Arabidopsis thaliana: one gene and its partners. The protein of the gene in region 1 purifies or fractionates together with the protein of each later gene. This does not show direct contact. Each region holds a gene or a part of one and is shown in the gene's direction. Other genes may lie near its edges.

The links.
Region 2: the proteins of ALDH2B7 (region 1) and MTHFR1 fractionate together in Arabidopsis thaliana (co-fractionation; one large-scale study listed by BioGRID). This does not show direct contact.
Region 3: the proteins of ALDH2B7 (region 1) and MTHFR2 fractionate together in Arabidopsis thaliana (co-fractionation; one large-scale study listed by BioGRID). This does not show direct contact.

Annotation. Positions count from the first base shown.
Region 1 is NC_003070.9:8,411,532-8,416,639, reverse strand, and holds ALDH2B7 (aldehyde dehydrogenase 2B7), read left to right. Parts: upstream 1-1,753; 5' UTR 1,754-1,835; coding exon 1,836-1,911; intron 1,912-2,127; coding exon 2,128-2,253; intron 2,254-2,326; coding exon 2,327-2,469; intron 2,470-2,553; coding exon 2,554-2,707; intron 2,708-2,802; coding exon 2,803-3,032; intron 3,033-3,110; coding exon 3,111-3,200; intron 3,201-3,291; coding exon 3,292-3,465; intron 3,466-3,538; coding exon 3,539-3,676; coding exon of another isoform or gene 3,677-3,768; coding exon 3,769-3,906; intron 3,907-3,980; coding exon 3,981-4,042; intron 4,043-4,128; coding exon 4,129-4,402; 3' UTR 4,403-4,589; downstream 4,590-5,108. Other genes in the region: AT1G23790 (dicer-like protein (DUF936)), read right to left, coding at 4,723-5,108.
Region 2 is NC_003074.8:22,149,542-22,154,983, forward strand, and holds MTHFR1 (methylenetetrahydrofolate reductase 1), read left to right. Parts: upstream 1-1,622; 5' UTR 1,623-1,761; coding exon 1,762-2,224; intron 2,225-2,316; coding exon 2,317-2,399; intron 2,400-2,493; coding exon 2,494-2,667; exon of another isoform or gene 2,668-2,888; coding exon 2,889-3,062; intron 3,063-3,162; coding exon 3,163-3,263; intron 3,264-3,369; coding exon 3,370-3,481; intron 3,482-3,712; coding exon 3,713-3,793; coding exon of another isoform or gene 3,794-3,871; exon of another isoform or gene 3,872-3,888; coding exon 3,889-4,066; intron 4,067-4,277; coding exon 4,278-4,612; intron 4,613-4,702; exon of another isoform or gene 4,703-4,704; coding exon 4,705-4,782; 3' UTR 4,783-4,942; downstream 4,943-5,442. Other genes in the region: histone-lysine N-methyltransferase ASHH4, read left to right, coding at 1-18, 99-249, 332-359, 438-528, 636-672; AT3G59980 (Nucleic acid-binding, OB-fold-like protein), read right to left, coding at 4,987-5,130, 5,221-5,427. UniProt on the Arabidopsis thaliana protein: The probable reversibility of the MTHFR reaction in plants suggests that they can metabolize the methyl group of 5,10-methylenetetrahydrofolate to serine, sugars and starch.
Region 3 is NC_003071.7:18,260,202-18,265,846, forward strand, and holds MTHFR2 (methylenetetrahydrofolate reductase 2), read left to right. Parts: upstream 1-1,987; 5' UTR 1,988-2,099; coding exon 2,100-2,562; intron 2,563-2,647; coding exon 2,648-2,730; intron 2,731-2,809; coding exon 2,810-2,983; intron 2,984-3,290; coding exon 3,291-3,464; intron 3,465-3,543; coding exon 3,544-3,644; intron 3,645-3,741; coding exon 3,742-3,853; intron 3,854-4,018; coding exon 4,019-4,099; intron 4,100-4,196; coding exon 4,197-4,374; intron 4,375-4,467; coding exon 4,468-4,802; intron 4,803-4,900; coding exon 4,901-4,984; 3' UTR 4,985-5,145; downstream 5,146-5,645. Other genes in the region: histone-lysine N-methyltransferase ASHH3, read left to right, coding at 2-149, 283-322, 413-503, 592-640, 737-802.

The DNA of each region.
Region 1 (5,108 bases):
AGCCCATTTCAGGACCTATTTTTCGCAAAAAACAACATAATGCAGCATGTACATTTTTTTTTTAGCATATACTTTTTTTTTTACATTTGGTTTGATTATTTTTCAATTGACATATACCTTCCTTTTTTTTTAGCAAAAAATACATTACTTTGTAGAGACGATATTTGTTTATGTTAACTATATTTTTTCCCTATCAAAGTGTAGTGTTTATGAGGTATTTTGGATCATCCTAGTAATCTAGCTAGCTACTTCTATAATATACGAAGTACCGAACATTTGATAATGATGTTTCAATTTCATACGTTTGTTCCTAGTTCGTGTTAATAATTTCGAACGGACGGTCTATTACTGTATATATAGTCGAATCTTATACGAAAACATTATGGAGAAAAAAAAGTCATGACACAATAATCCCTTCTTTTTATCTATCTATTAAAAGAAAAGTTGGTAGAGATAAACAAGTAAATGCTAAAATGAATTTTCTATAAAGAAACAAAAAGAAATACGTTTACGTATCGATAATGTCTATGCACTATGAAAATATATATATTTGGTTATGCATGAAAAGATGTTTGGAAATCCCAAATTTTTTTAAAGGTTTTTCGTACTTCTAACTATGAAAACGTGATAATCAATGTGCATTAGCATTTTTTTAACGCTCATATAAGTTTCCATAGCTAACTAAACCAGTTTCTGTCAGTTTTGTATAAATTTGTCGTCATTTGTTTTTTTAAAAAAGCTTTGTGTCAACAAAAAAAAAAGCTATAAAAAACCAACACTTTTTAACACAGAACAATTACATAGTATATAAATCTTGAAAAACTTGAAACTACCTAGTAATAAGGAGATTATGGCTAAAATATAGCCTTGTCCATCGAATTGTTCTGTTTTTGTAAGGTTGGATCCAAAGTCCAAACTGAGTTATACGTATTGTAACTGTGTAACATTGTCATCAAGATCATATCTTAGTGATAACAAGAAATATTATTAGTATAGAATGATGACTAATATATGATCTTATCTCTATACAAACACATAATAACAATTAAAAACGTAATCTTTAATGCCAACACACAAAGTTGACACTATCTTATACCATAATTACTAGTAAATTATCCTACTAATATTTGTATAGAATAACGATAAATAAGCAAAATAATCACCTATTTTTAGTGTGGTAGGTGAACCACTCAAATCTCTTCAAAATAATCAGGACGTAATACTTTTCTCTTACGCCTTCAATGCCGTACCACACTTTTTAAATCTCCATTCACACTTTTTTCTTATTATAATCTCTATTCACACTTAAAAATCGTTATTTTCTATGATGTTAATTTTAAATATATTTCTGTAAAATATTCCAGTTTATGTACTAGTGATTATATATGTAAATTTGTCACAGAAAAAAAAAATCCAATAAATGACAGAAATATAATGAAATAAAAACATATTTGAATATTGTACTAGTATTAGTGTATTACTATGTCTTTTATTAGCGTAATATCTATGATACTAAAACTACAACTACAACTATAACTCCGAAGATTATGGTATGGTACTACTAAGTACTAAGTAAAATAATTCTAAAATAATATATAGAAATGAATGATTAAAATGATATTGTAGTATTATTAGTGTCGACACGAGTTTTGATTTGACTCTTGTGTAGACGACAAGTGGGGAACGAATGTGATATTTTTATCCCTGAAATGGTTCTTTCTTATGTTCGTTAAATGCGAAATCATTACTCGTGTGCTTCCATAAACAGAGTTCTCACACCAATACAAAAGAGACCATCACCGTGAGAAAGAGAAGAAGAACAAAAAAAGTTAGCCATGGCATCAAGAAGAGTTTCTTCGCTGCTCTCTCGCTCTTTCATGTCCTCCTCACGTTCTATCTTCTCTCTTAGAGGTATCTAAATGCGATCCGATCCATTTGTAGAGCCATTGCTTCTCTGTCATAGTTATCTTGATAATGATCGAGATCGTTCTGTTTTCATTGTCTCTGTTAACTTTCATACGGATCAATGATCTCCGAGTTTTTCGGATTTTGTGGTTACTTGTCGATGGATTTGATGATCTTGGTCTCATTTAGATCGAATCTATGCGTTCTTGTTTGTTTCTTTAGGCATGAACAGAGGAGCTCAAAGATACAGTAACCTCGCTGCTGCTGTCGAAAACACTATTACTCCACCAGTGAAAGTTGAACACACACAGCTTCTAATCGGTGGAAGATTCGTTGATGCAGTGTCAGGTAAGAAATGTTTAGCCTTGTCAATATCTTAAGCTCGTAAAAATATTGAGACTAGATTGTTTAAAAACTACAGGAAAAACTTTCCCTACTTTGGATCCAAGAAATGGAGAAGTGATTGCTCAAGTGTCTGAAGGTGATGCAGAAGACGTGAACCGCGCGGTTGCAGCTGCACGAAAGGCTTTTGATGAAGGACCATGGCCTAAAATGACAGCTTATGTATATAACAAAGTTGTTTTGTGCTTATCTTCTGTGTTTTATTTGTGCTTTTGACATGACTCTTAGCTTTGTTAATTTCTTCAGGAGAGATCAAAGATACTGTTTCGTTTCGCTGATTTAATCGAGAAACATAATGATGAGATTGCTGCTCTTGAGACTTGGGATAATGGGAAACCTTATGAACAATCTGCTCAAATTGAAGTACCAATGCTTGCTAGGGTGTTCCGGTACTATGCTGGTGAGTGAAACCACTGATGCATATTGTATACCTTAATGACTTTTTCATGATCTTTGTAAGGATTTTTGTATGTTGTTCTTCGATGAGTTTCTCAGGTTGGGCAGACAAGATACATGGAATGACAATGCCAGGAGATGGTCCACACCATGTGCAGACCTTACATGAGCCTATAGGAGTCGCTGGACAAATCATCCCATGGAACTTCCCTCTTCTCATGCTTTCTTGGAAACTTGGACCAGCTTTAGCTTGCGGTAACACCGTTGTTCTCAAAACTGCTGAGCAAACTCCTCTATCTGCTCTTCTTGTTGGGAAACTACTTCATGAGGTAACAATGTGCTCTTCAGTGAGATTCTGTTTTATTGATGTTATGTTTTGCTCAAGTAACTGAAATTTTATGACACAGGCTGGACTTCCTGATGGAGTTGTGAATATAGTTTCTGGATTTGGGGCTACTGCTGGTGCAGCTATAGCTAGTCACATGGACGTTGATAAGGTTTAAAAGACAAACTTTGAAAAATTATCCTATTAAAAGGCAAAAGTTATGCCTTCTATAGAGTTTCTGATAAATCCTCTGCACTCTACAGGTTGCTTTCACCGGGTCTACTGATGTTGGGAAGATTATTCTTGAGTTAGCTTCAAAAAGCAACCTTAAGGCAGTGACTCTTGAGCTTGGAGGAAAGTCACCATTCATTGTATGTGAAGATGCTGATGTGGATCAGGCCGTTGAGCTTGCACATTTCGCTTTGTTCTTTAACCAGGTACTGTTTTTTTTATGGTTTCATGGTTCTACAGTCTTTAGAATCTAGCCTTTTCTGATAGGTATAACTGTAGGGACAATGTTGTTGTGCTGGTTCGCGTACATTTGTACATGAACGTGTGTATGATGAGTTTGTAGAGAAAGCTAAAGCTCGTGCACTCAAGCGAAATGTTGGAGATCCCTTCAAGTCAGGCATTGAGCAAGGTCCCCAGGTAGTCATACCATCATTTAGAAACCGTAGCCTAACCATGTTGTCGGTGATAAACAGAACAACATTTCAACTTGTATTGGAACAAAAAAACAGGTAGACTCAGAGCAATTCAACAAAATCCTGAAGTACATCAAACATGGAGTTGAGGCTGGAGCCACATTACAAGCTGGAGGTGACAGGCTTGGTTCCAAGGGTTACTACATTCAACCTACTGTCTTCTCAGATGTGAAAGTAAGTAAACCGATTATTACCGTCACAGTTTTCTTGCGAAAATCGATTTATATGGACCATGTTGAACTTTGCAGGATGACATGCTCATAGCAACAGACGAGATTTTCGGGCCGGTTCAAACCATACTGAAATTCAAGTACAAATCTAAATGCTAAACCAAAAACTTTCTCTTTGTTGACATTTTCTGATTAAACTTTACTAATGGCTTTTGATGTTTCTTAGGGATCTTGATGAGGTGATTGCAAGGGCCAACAACTCAAGGTACGGTTTAGCTGCTGGAGTGTTCACACAGAATCTTGACACAGCACACCGGCTGATGCGAGCACTCAGAGTTGGGACTGTTTGGATCAACTGTTTTGATGTACTTGATGCATCAATTCCATTTGGAGGGTATAAGATGAGTGGCATTGGTAGAGAGAAAGGTATCTACAGTCTCAACAATTACTTGCAAGTCAAGGCTGTTGTTACTTCCCTCAAGAACCCTGCCTGGCTCTAAACCATACCAGGTGGTTACACTTATTTCTCGAGTTTGGTTTATGATTTGCACTTTTGCTTTGAAAACCTGGAGTTGTACTGTGTCTCTAGGATTTCTAGATTTTGAGAGTAATTTATCTTCAATACATTTTGCAAATAAAGCTACATGACAATGTGTGATTAATAAACACAAACTCTTATTAGTTTCATTGATGTGTACATGAACTTGACTAATAACAATAGAATCCATGAATAAATCTCTCTATAAGCAGTGGAAACTGAAAGCCTTTTCACAGTAGACGTAGAAGGAACAACTTAACATCTCAAAATCGCGCTTATGGTCTAAGGATTCTTCAACTTGATTCTGAGCTTTCTAGTGATATGTGATGCTTTTGGATGAACTGGTCGTTTCGTGTTATCAGCAGAATGTTCTTCTTCCACCCAGTTTACAACTTTGAGAATCAGAGACTGTGGAACCTTCTTAACATCTGCATCACTTGTGCCTTTACATTTCTTCATCCCTTTCTCCAGAGCCTTTTCTATAAACTCCATGAACCAATTTGCAGCTTCTTTCTCTATCTCTTTAACCAACCTCGCCGTGTTTCCTAATCCGGAAAGAGAAACTGCGGGGTTCTTGTTCTCATCGTTTGATCTCTTTTGCTGCTGCTTCAGGAGAATTCTTCTCTTTGATGTTGTTTTCTCCTGATCAATAGAGTTATGCTGGATTT
Region 2 (5,442 bases), on another chromosome or scaffold:
GTTGACTTACGATTACCAGTAAGAACATTTCCTTGCATCACAACAATAAAGTATTTGAATGTAAATGTTTAGTTGTGTGATACTAATAAATATAGCAGGTTTGTTCAGTTTGGTGCAGATCAAGATTGCTACTGTGGTGCAGTGTGTTGCAGAAAAAAGCTAGGTGCAAAACCTTGCAAAACTAAGAACACAACCTTAGAAGAAGCTGTGAAGCCAGTGGCATGTAAAGTGACCTGGAAAACGCCCAAGGTAAATTTGAGCTTTGCCTTACTTTTTTTTAGTCATCCTGTGATTGCTAAACAGTAACTTGTCCTTTCAAACATATGGTTAGGGAAAAACTCGAGGGAGACGCATTGCTGGTTAGTATTAATTATTTGGCTCGATTATCGACAAGCTTCTCAATTCAGAGGTAAGAGAAACCAATTTGGATGCGTCAGGACAAGCTTGGAACAATCATAGCCAGAGGAAAATATGTTGCCGGGACTGCATTGGTGCGGTGATCTGGTTAGCACGTCCCATGAACCAAAAGTATAACTATCTTTCTTTTTTTCTCAAAAACCAATTTCTTCCACACCAAAGAACAGTATTACACGGCTCAGATGAAGGTTTTGACTCTAGTAGTTGACATTTTTCAGGTGTTTTGGAATCATTACACAATATGATGAGTTTTAAATAAGCACTTGGTATCTATTCATTTGACTTATTGCCAACACTGTTGTTCACATTCTATCTCAGTTTACGAAATCTAAAGAATGAACATTGACTTTGTCCAGGTCATGTATGAGGATGGTGTTACCGAGATCATCGACATGTGCAGAGAAGTTTGGAAGGTTGTAACTGCTTGATATTGTGACTGTTCCAAGTCTGATTTCATTCCCTTACATAGGATTACACTTGAATTGTCAAGAAATTTTGTAACCAACCAAACCGTGTCGGTTGGCAAATAGGTTTAGACTTTGTTGTTGTATGTATCCAACTTGAATCAGTAGTTCAGTAGTACATTACACTGTATGTGGAATCTTTGGACCAAATAAAGAAAAGTGTTTTTGGATTTTAAACCGGGGTTTTGGTTATTTAAGAGACAAAAAATCTCATACCCGGTTTGCTCTGTCTATAACTCGAGTTTGTTAAGCACGTGATTCTCCTTGGCAATGCTGCTATATCACTAGCCTACTGTCCGTTGTAGCGGATGATACCCACGCGCCGGTGACCGACAGTGGATTTGCCGTTACCGGTGGTAGGTAATGTGGGGTCGTAGCTCACCTACCTAACTAAATTTTCTTTTTCTTATGTTTAGTTGGAAAATAAGAAAAATATAAAAACTAGTTTTTTGTAAAGGAAAAGGATAAAATTACTATTATGGAAAAGATAAATTCCAAAAGTGAGGAAATATGTATTTAGCACAATAAAAAGTGATAGCAATGTGAGAAAAAAAACGTGATAACAGAAATGCTGTGCTAAATTTGGATTTCTTTGTTGAAAATATATTTACATTGATAAATATTATGTAATTAGAAAAAGGAAAATTCAAAATAGATGTGTAGAAAAACAACAATGTTGATAATATAATTTTTTATCTAAAGTTTTTACCGGTTACCAGTTACCACCAAAGTTGTTGGATCTCTATCTTCATTTTTAGAGATTAGTATAAATGAGTGAGTAAACAAACCAGAGAGACCAAACTTGCCTCTCCACCACCACTTCCTCTACCTATCTAATTCCGAATCTGGATTTGGATTTGGATCTCATTTCGATTCAACGATGAAGGTGGTTGATAAGATCAAATCCGTGACGGAGCAAGGCCAAACAGCTTTCTCCTTCGAGTTTTTCCCACCGAAGACAGAAGATGGCGTCGAGAATCTCTTTGAACGAATGGATCGATTGGTCTCTTATGGACCTACCTTCTGCGATATCACTTGGGGTGCTGGTGGATCCACAGCTGATCTCACTCTCGAGATTGCTTCTAGGATGCAGAATGTTATCTGCGTCGAGACTATGATGCATCTCACTTGTACCAACATGCCGATTGAGAAGATTGATCACGCGCTTGAGACGATTAGATCTAATGGAATTCAGAATGTGCTTGCTCTTAGAGGAGATCCTCCTCATGGACAAGATAAGTTTGTTCAGGTTGAAGGAGGATTTGCTTGTGCTTTGGATCTGGTGAATCACATTCGTAGCAAGTATGGTGATTACTTTGGAATCACTGTTGCTGGTTATCCTGGTAATCAAAATGCTCCCTTTTAATCAATTTCATTGTTGGTTTCGTTGTTGTGATTTTGATCTCTAATTGGGGATTTGTGTGTTATGAATCAGAGGCTCATCCGGATGTTATTGAAGCTGATGGACTTGCTACTCCTGAATCTTATCAGAGTGATCTTGCTTACTTGAAGAAAAAGGTTCAGATTTGTGTCTTGGTTTTGAATTTTGTGTGTTGAATTGTTTGTGTTGTCTTGATTTGATGGGTTTAGTGGATTGTGGCTTGTGGTACAGGTTGATGCTGGAGCAGATTTGATTGTGACTCAGCTTTTCTATGATACTGATATATTCCTCAAGTTTGTGAATGATTGTCGGCAAATCGGGATTAATTGTCCCATTGTTCCTGGAATTATGCCTATTTCCAACTACAAGGGGTTCTTGCGTATGGCTGGTTTCTGTAAGACCAAGGTATGTTGTGATCTCTTTCATCTGTGTGATGATATGGCTTGCTCTGTAGACACATGTCGTCTTTGTGCTTAAAGGCTTTAAGATGAGATTGAGTTTACTGCATCTATCTAGTTGCTTGGTGATATATATATAGACCCTTGGTGATGATGCCTTATGACTAATGTGTTCAGATATCATTTTTCTTTGATTTATATTCCACTCATGATTCTATTATTGCATAGATACCCGCTGAGCTCACTGCTGCCTTAGAGCCTATTAAGGATAATGACGAGGCTGTTAAAGCCTATGGAATTCACTTTGCAACAGAAATGTGCAAAAAGATTTTGGCCCATGGAATCACTTCCCTTCATCTCTACACATTGAACGTGGACAAATCAGCTATTGGGATATTAATGGTTTTCTTCTCATTTCCTTCTAAATTGGTTTCTGTGTAGTAATATTTAACACATGGTATTGTGTATACCGGAGAACCTAACAGTGGTGCTCAAATTGCAGAACCTTGGTCTGATTGATGAGTCAAAAATTTCTCGTTCTCTACCTTGGAGACGCCCTGCAAATGTTTTCCGTACTAAGGAAGATGTTCGCCCAATTTTCTGGTAACCTGCATTTTGTTTCTCTTGCTCGGAGTATTATTACAGATCTTTAACTTTAAGATATATTTGCGGAGGAATAATACTGTTACTTCATTTTTTATCTTTGCAGGGCAAACCGTCCAAAGAGCTACATATCTAGAACAAAGGGCTGGAATGACTTCCCACATGGACGTTGGGGTGATTCACACAGTGCAGCATACAGTACACTTTCGGATTATCAGGTACGTACCACATATTTATCAGTTTTCTGACATATCGACTTTATATTTTGAAAACTTGAATTCTGAAAGGCTTGTTTTCAGTTTGCCTTCTCAATTTGCTTAAATTGTATTTGCATATTGTTATTTAGCCCTACCATTATCACTTGTAAGAAGCTGCTTGCTTTGCTTGCCATCTCTTCTGCGTTTTTCATTGCCAATGAGTAGTGCTGATATAAATGCATGTGTTGATAGTTTGCGCGCCCAAAAGGACGTGACAAGAAGCTTCAGCAAGAATGGGTCGTCCCACTGAAAAGCATTGAAGATGTTCAAGAGGTAGGCTTTACTTTACGGACACTCGTACAAATTGTTTCGATCTCTTTCCCTCATACTCACTTGCACATTTTCATGTAAAAACTGTCACAAATCAGAAATTCAAAGAGCTCTGCATTGGAAACTTAAAAAGCAGCCCATGGTCTGAATTAGATGGACTCCAGCCAGAGACAAAGATCATAAATGAGCAACTCGGAAAAATCAACTCCAACGGTTTCCTGACCATTAATAGCCAACCATCAGTCAATGCAGCCAAATCCGATTCTCCAGCTATTGGTAAGAAAACTCAAACTTGTGATCACAAAGCATACCATAACGTTCCAAAAAAAAAAATCTTATTTGACTTGTGATTCATCTGTCATTTCTTAAAAACCTATTTAAACCCTCTAGAGCTTCTGTCTTAGCTTATAACATAATGTTTAAATTGCATTGGGAATATCTACTTGGCTTATAACAAAAATGTATAATTGCAATTGATACTTTGCAGGATGGGGTGGTCCTGGTGGTTACGTCTACCAGAAAGCTTATCTGGAGTTCTTCTGTTCAAAGGATAAGTTAGACACACTTGTGGAGAAATCCAAAGCTTTTCCTTCTATCACCTACATGGCCGTGAACAAATCAGAGAATTGGGTATCAAACACCGGTGAGTCCGATGTGAATGCAGTTACTTGGGGAGTGTTCCCAGCTAAGGAGGTTATTCAACCGACGATCGTGGATCCAGCCAGTTTCAAAGTCTGGAAAGACGAAGCGTTTGAGATTTGGTCAAGAAGCTGGGCTAACTTGTACCCAGAAGATGACCCTTCTAGAAAGTTGCTCGAGGAGGTAAAGAATCTTCTTCTTTTTTCTTCTCTTCTTTTCAGTGACCAGATTGGTTTAGCTGTAATGATGATGGTATGATCCAATCGAATATGCAGGTGAAGAACAGCTACTATTTGGTAAGCTTAGTGGACAACAATTACATCAATGGTGATATCTTCTCTGTCTTTGCTTGATCTCCGAGAAAACCACCGGCGAAGAGGAAACATTCGATTTCGAGATTTGTTTTGTACCTTTTAAAGTTATTTTTGATTCGTAATAACCTTACTTTGATGAATCAACAAAAACATCAGTTTGATTGCAATGAAAAAAATCGCCTTAGCGGTTTGTTCTTTCTCTCTTGTGTCAAAACAACATCACAAAATAGCTTTTAACAGAAATCAAGAAATGTTGGCATTTCTTAAAGACTTGGAAGTAACAAGACCAGAAGATGTCCGCATCAAATGCTCCTTAAGCATTGAAACACCAGACGCATCTGTCTTCAAAAGTGGTTGCACCAATTCCCACATCTTCTTCTTTTGAACCTGAAACAACAAAGAAAACACAGAACTTGAATATGCCATGACTTAAGTCTTGCAGTACTGAAATGATTAGTGCTTTGCAGGCTAAATGACCTTATTAGGAGGTGCAGGTTCAGGAAGCTGCTCGAGATCTTCTTCGTTACCAAACCAAACTCTATCTCCAGGAACAGAGCCTTCTGGTGGAACAAGAAGCTCAACATTTTCATGAGCTGCGTCAGATGCAGCTAAAAGCATACCACATGACTTAACCCCTCTCATATTCCTCGGCTTCAGATTAGCCAGCACCACCACTGATGCACCCTGCACAGAACCAAA
Region 3 (5,645 bases), on another chromosome or scaffold:
GGTTTGTTCAGTTTGGTGCAGATCAAGACTGCCATTGTGGGGCTGTAGGTTGCAGAAGGAAGCTTGGTGTAAAACCTAGCAAACCTAAGATAGCCTCGGATGAAGCTTTTAATCTAGTGGCACATGAATTGGCCCAGACACTGCCCAAGGTATTTTCAAATTTTATCTGAAAAGAAGAATCAAATATATATCTCGTCTTTGCCCTGGCATAGTTTCACAGTCACTGAAAAATTTGTGTGATGAGGTCTAAGTGACTCTTTTTCTTTCCCCACTTTTGGTTAGGTGCATCAAAATGGACTTGTAAATAGACACATAGATGCAGGTAAGTTTGGATTTTTTCTGCTCAATTTGCGAGAGTAGCTTATTGTGTTTTGGTTGTAAGAAAGTAATTTGGATTCCCATGTTTCTCCAGGAAAATCATGGAACAATCTTAGTCAAAGGGATACATGTTCGCGTAATTGCATTGGTGTGGTGATCAGGTTATCTCGCCCCACGAGTGATAGGTATTTATTGAGTTTTGAACTCGTGGATTAGTTTTATGACTCATTCTATGCTTTTCTCATCCAATGTTTTATCTTTTGAGATTTTCAGGTGTTTTGGCCTCGTTAGACATTTTGATGAGTATTCAAGAAAGCACTCGGTATTACAATTAGCCAATACTTGTTCCTCACCATCGAACTTGGCAAAATCATTCTCAATTAAGACCTCTCTGTTAACATCTTTAAACTTGGTCCAGGTGATGTTCGAGGATGGTGTTACCGAGTTTGTCGACATGTCGAGAGAAGACTGGGAGATTGTCTAATATTGTTTTCAGGTGATTTATACTCTTCACTCTCTTAATGAAACATTAAAACTCCCAGAAGCATAGAGTATTAAATTACCCTGGCTGCTATGTTTCTGCAGATTGCTTTGAAGTTGAGAAACCAAAATAACCTGTCTTGGTAAACTAAAGGTATCCCAAAAAACCCGGGTCTGACTGACTGGGATTGGTGCAGTGACATTGTTTGTTGCGTCTAACTTGTGACCTGTGTTTGTACAACCATTATAAGAGATATCATATATCTACTTGTGTAACCACATCTGTACTTTCTTCTCCTTCCTTCTTTTTTCATGGGGATCTCAAATGATGATGTCTTGCAAGAACCTTCGTGGTGTGTAATTGACTTTGTAAGAACCGGTAATCTCATATCCGGTTTAGCTTTTAAAAATTTGTATCCAAAGACCGGTTTGTTCTTGTTTGCATGTGCTGTTCTTATTCGTGCATCTGTGTGAGTGTGACTGTGTCGGTGTCGCCGACAAAAGCCGGTGTTTGCAAAATCTGACCAGTTTTGTTTTAGCGATTAACGTTTCAAATTCCTTCAAATGCAAAATGAGTTAAACAAGTGAAAAATTACTAAAACAACATAACAGTTTTAAATTGGAAAAAGTTTTGTAAAGTTTAAAGATACACTGTAAGTGAAAAACGGAAAATTTTAATTAGATTTTTTTTTTTTTTTTTTTTTTTTGGTAAAAGTAGATTATTTTTGTTAAACAAAAGTGATGGATCATTGGTTTTTTGGTAGTAGGTGGGTGATGTGGGTGTGTGGTTCTGGTTCACCAACTCAAAAAGCATAGACTGCAGGGGTTGGGGATTGATAACGACAAATCTAATTGTGGTTGGTAAATCTTTTACTAATCACATTCCTTTAAAATAATTATGTAACTCATCTTGTTTACTAATATCAACTCGACTATCTTAATATCAAATAACTCGGATTCTTCATTTTTTTCACTTTAGAATGGTTTGGTAAATCTCTTGAATAATAAACACTTTAATAAAAATGTTTTTTTTTGTCAAGCATAAAAATGTAACTCATGTTGTCTAACTACATGGATTTTCGCACAAAACAATGATTAAATGTAAATTATGTAATTATACTTTATTTAAAGTATGATTTTGTCTTAAAAATGAAAATAATATAAGGAAGTGGACGGGTAAGGTAAAGTCTAAAATTCACCAAACATTTTGGAATCTCTCTGTTTACTATAAAGCAGTGAGTAGAAGAACCTGAAAGAACTCGCCTTTGTCTCTCATTCTTCTTCTCCATTTCGAAAAGAAGATGAAGGTGATAGATAAGATCCAGTCATTAGCCGACGAAGGCAAAACAGCGTTTTCCTTCGAATTCTTCCCACCAAAGACAGAAGATGGAGTCGACAATCTCTTTGAGAGAATGGATCGAATGGTTGCTTATGGTCCAACGTTTTGCGATATCACTTGGGGAGCTGGTGGATCTACCGCAGATCTAACGCTTGATATAGCTTCGAGGATGCAAAACGTTGTTTGTGTTGAGAGTATGATGCATCTTACGTGTACTAACATGCCTGTTGAGAAGATTGATCATGCTCTTGAGACTATTAGATCTAATGGGATTCAGAATGTGCTTGCTCTTAGAGGTGATCCTCCTCATGGTCAAGATAAGTTTGTTCAGGTTGAAGGTGGTTTTGATTGTGCTTTGGATCTTGTTAATCACATTCGTAGCAAGTATGGTGATTACTTTGGTATCACTGTCGCTGGTTATCCTGGTAATGTCTCGAATTCGAATTTGATTTCTTTGTTTCGTGTGATTTGTAGCTAAAGATTGGATTTTTATGTGTTTTGATATTTCAGAGGCGCATCCTGATGTTATTGGTGAGAATGGTCTTGCGTCTAATGAAGCTTATCAGAGTGATCTTGAGTATCTGAAGAAAAAGGTTTGTTTTGTTTGTTTTTGTTTTGCTTTGTTCTTAAATGTCTGCATCAATTTTTGAATTTGGGTTTGTCTTGGAACAGATTGATGCTGGAGCTGATCTGATTGTTACTCAGCTTTTCTATGATACTGATATATTCCTCAAGTTTGTGAATGATTGTCGGCAAATTGGGATTAGTTGTCCCATTGTTCCTGGAATTATGCCTATTAATAACTACAGAGGCTTTTTGCGTATGACTGGTTTCTGCAAGACTAAGGTAAGTTTTGATCGTTTAGTAAACACCAGTTCCTGCAAATGAATCACCTTTTAGGAGATGAATGATATTGCTTGTTGCCTTTCCATAAAGGTGTTTGTTTGCTAGCTTAGGATATGTTTTTAAAAAAGTGTATTTAAGGTTTCGTGATCAGCTAGATGAAATTGAGATACTTGATTATATTATTGTTTTCAGAGAAAGTGTTTGTTGGATAGCTATTCAAAGAGAATTCTTTATATTAATGTAGATACCAGCTGTGCTTTTTGTGAAAAAAAGATAGATGAATTTACATATGATTATATTAATGTAGATACCAGTTGAGGTGATGGCTGCCTTGGAGCCTATCAAGGATAACGAAGAAGCTGTGAAAGCCTATGGTATTCACCTTGGAACAGAGATGTGTAAAAAGATGTTGGCTCATGGAGTCAAGTCTCTTCATCTCTACACATTGAACATGGAGAAATCTGCTCTTGCAATATTGATGGTTGGTCCTCACTTTTTCTACTTGATGTAAAGCATGATACTGATAGTGGAGTAGCTTTACTATTTTGTTGTTGTTTCAGAATCTTGGTATGATTGATGAGTCCAAAATTTCTCGTTCTTTACCCTGGAGACGCCCTGCAAATGTTTTCCGTACTAAGGAAGATGTGCGCCCCATTTTCTGGTAACAGAGCTTAGTTTCTCTCGTTCTGATTATACTTAGCCACATATTTTACTCTGCAGGGAAAATAAGACTTGTTCTTTCTTCTAATCTTTTGAAGGGCAAACCGTCCAAAGAGCTACATTTCTAGAACCAAGGGCTGGGAAGATTTCCCACAAGGCCGGTGGGGTGATTCACGCAGTGCTTCATATGGTGCACTCTCGGATCATCAGGTACTACAATACATCATCTGTAATTGCACAACTCTCTTTCAAGATTTCATAACAAAGGGGTTTTGAAGGGTATTTCTTCGATTGGTCTTTTTGATTTGCTCTAGATTGTTAAATGTAACATCTTCTTGTGAGCTTGTTTGCTGAACTAAATGCTTTTGTTGTCAGTTCTCACGTCCGCGAGCACGTGACAAGAAGCTTCAACAAGAATGGGTTGTCCCACTGAAAAGTGTTGAAGATATTCAGGAGGTAGAACAATTTTTTCACTACCACACATTTCCCTCACTTTCACCTGTAAAGATGCAGACGCTTACAATAATCTTGCAAAAAAACTGTCACATAACAGAAATTCAAGGAGCTCTGCCTTGGAAACCTTAAAAGCAGTCCCTGGTCTGAATTAGATGGACTCCAGCCAGAGACAAGGATAATAAACGAGCAACTGATAAAAGTCAACTCCAAAGGCTTCTTGACCATCAATAGCCAACCATCAGTCAACGCCGAGAGATCTGATTCCCCAACTGTTGGTGAGGAATCAGTCCTGTTATATCTCTGTTCTCATAGCAAACAGAGTTTTGATTCGTGATTGATCGATACTTGTGCTTGTGTATGATTTGCAGGATGGGGAGGTCCTGTTGGATATGTATACCAAAAGGCTTATCTAGAGTTCTTCTGCTCAAAGGAGAAATTAGATGCAGTGGTGGAGAAATGCAAAGCTTTGCCATCGATTACTTACATGGCTGTGAACAAAGGAGAACAGTGGGTATCGAACACTGCCCAAGCTGATGTGAATGCTGTAACTTGGGGAGTTTTCCCGGCTAAGGAAATCATTCAACCAACCATTGTCGATCCCGCTAGCTTCAACGTCTGGAAGGATGAAGCATTTGAGACTTGGTCAAGAAGCTGGGCTAACTTGTACCCAGAAGCCGACCCTTCCAGAAACTTGCTCGAGGAGGTAAGTTCTATATTTTTCTTGATCTGATCATATTTGTTATTGTTTTTGACAATGGTTTATTTAAAATGACTAATGGACATTTTGATCCAAAAATGCAGGTGAAGAACAGCTACTATTTGGTAAGCTTGGTGGAGAACGATTACATCAATGGTGACATATTCGCGGTGTTTGCTGATCTTTGAGAAAATCAAGAGACAACTACAGTATATCGGTTTCCTACTGCTTTCAAGATTTGCTTTTGTACTTTCTCTAAAATATTGGGATTTTGTTTTTTACATCTGTCTACCATAACAGTATTGATGTGCAAGTAATGTTATTGATAAAAAGGCATCAGTTTCACTACCTTAAAGATCCAAAACCAAACAATTCTTCGGCAAATTTTGTTTGTGTTGATAGTTCAGAGGAAAACTACAAAAAGACACGCAAAAAGATAAAAAGGCTTTAAACTTTTGTTTATAATACTTGCAAATGATATCCAGGAAGAGGAATCTTAGGCTACACATTGGTTTAATGATCATAGTTTGTTCACATTGGGGAGCGGGAACAGTGGTTTTAACAAAACTAAAGAATAAGCCCAAGTTCTGATGGCTTCAATGCATTTCTCAAACGGTAATTGTAGAGATAGTAGTGCGACTGTCGACATAGTGGATAAAACCTCAACTCTTTCAAGAAACTCTCATTCTGCATCACATCCGAGGCATAAAACACATCGAAACCTTTTTGCTTAGAGACTATTAGGGCATCATTCACCAGCTGGGATAACGAGGTCAGTGTCGCTACATTGCAGCAAGCATAAGCACATTCCAGGGTCGTGTATTTCCGGTTACCGGGGATAGTTATAGA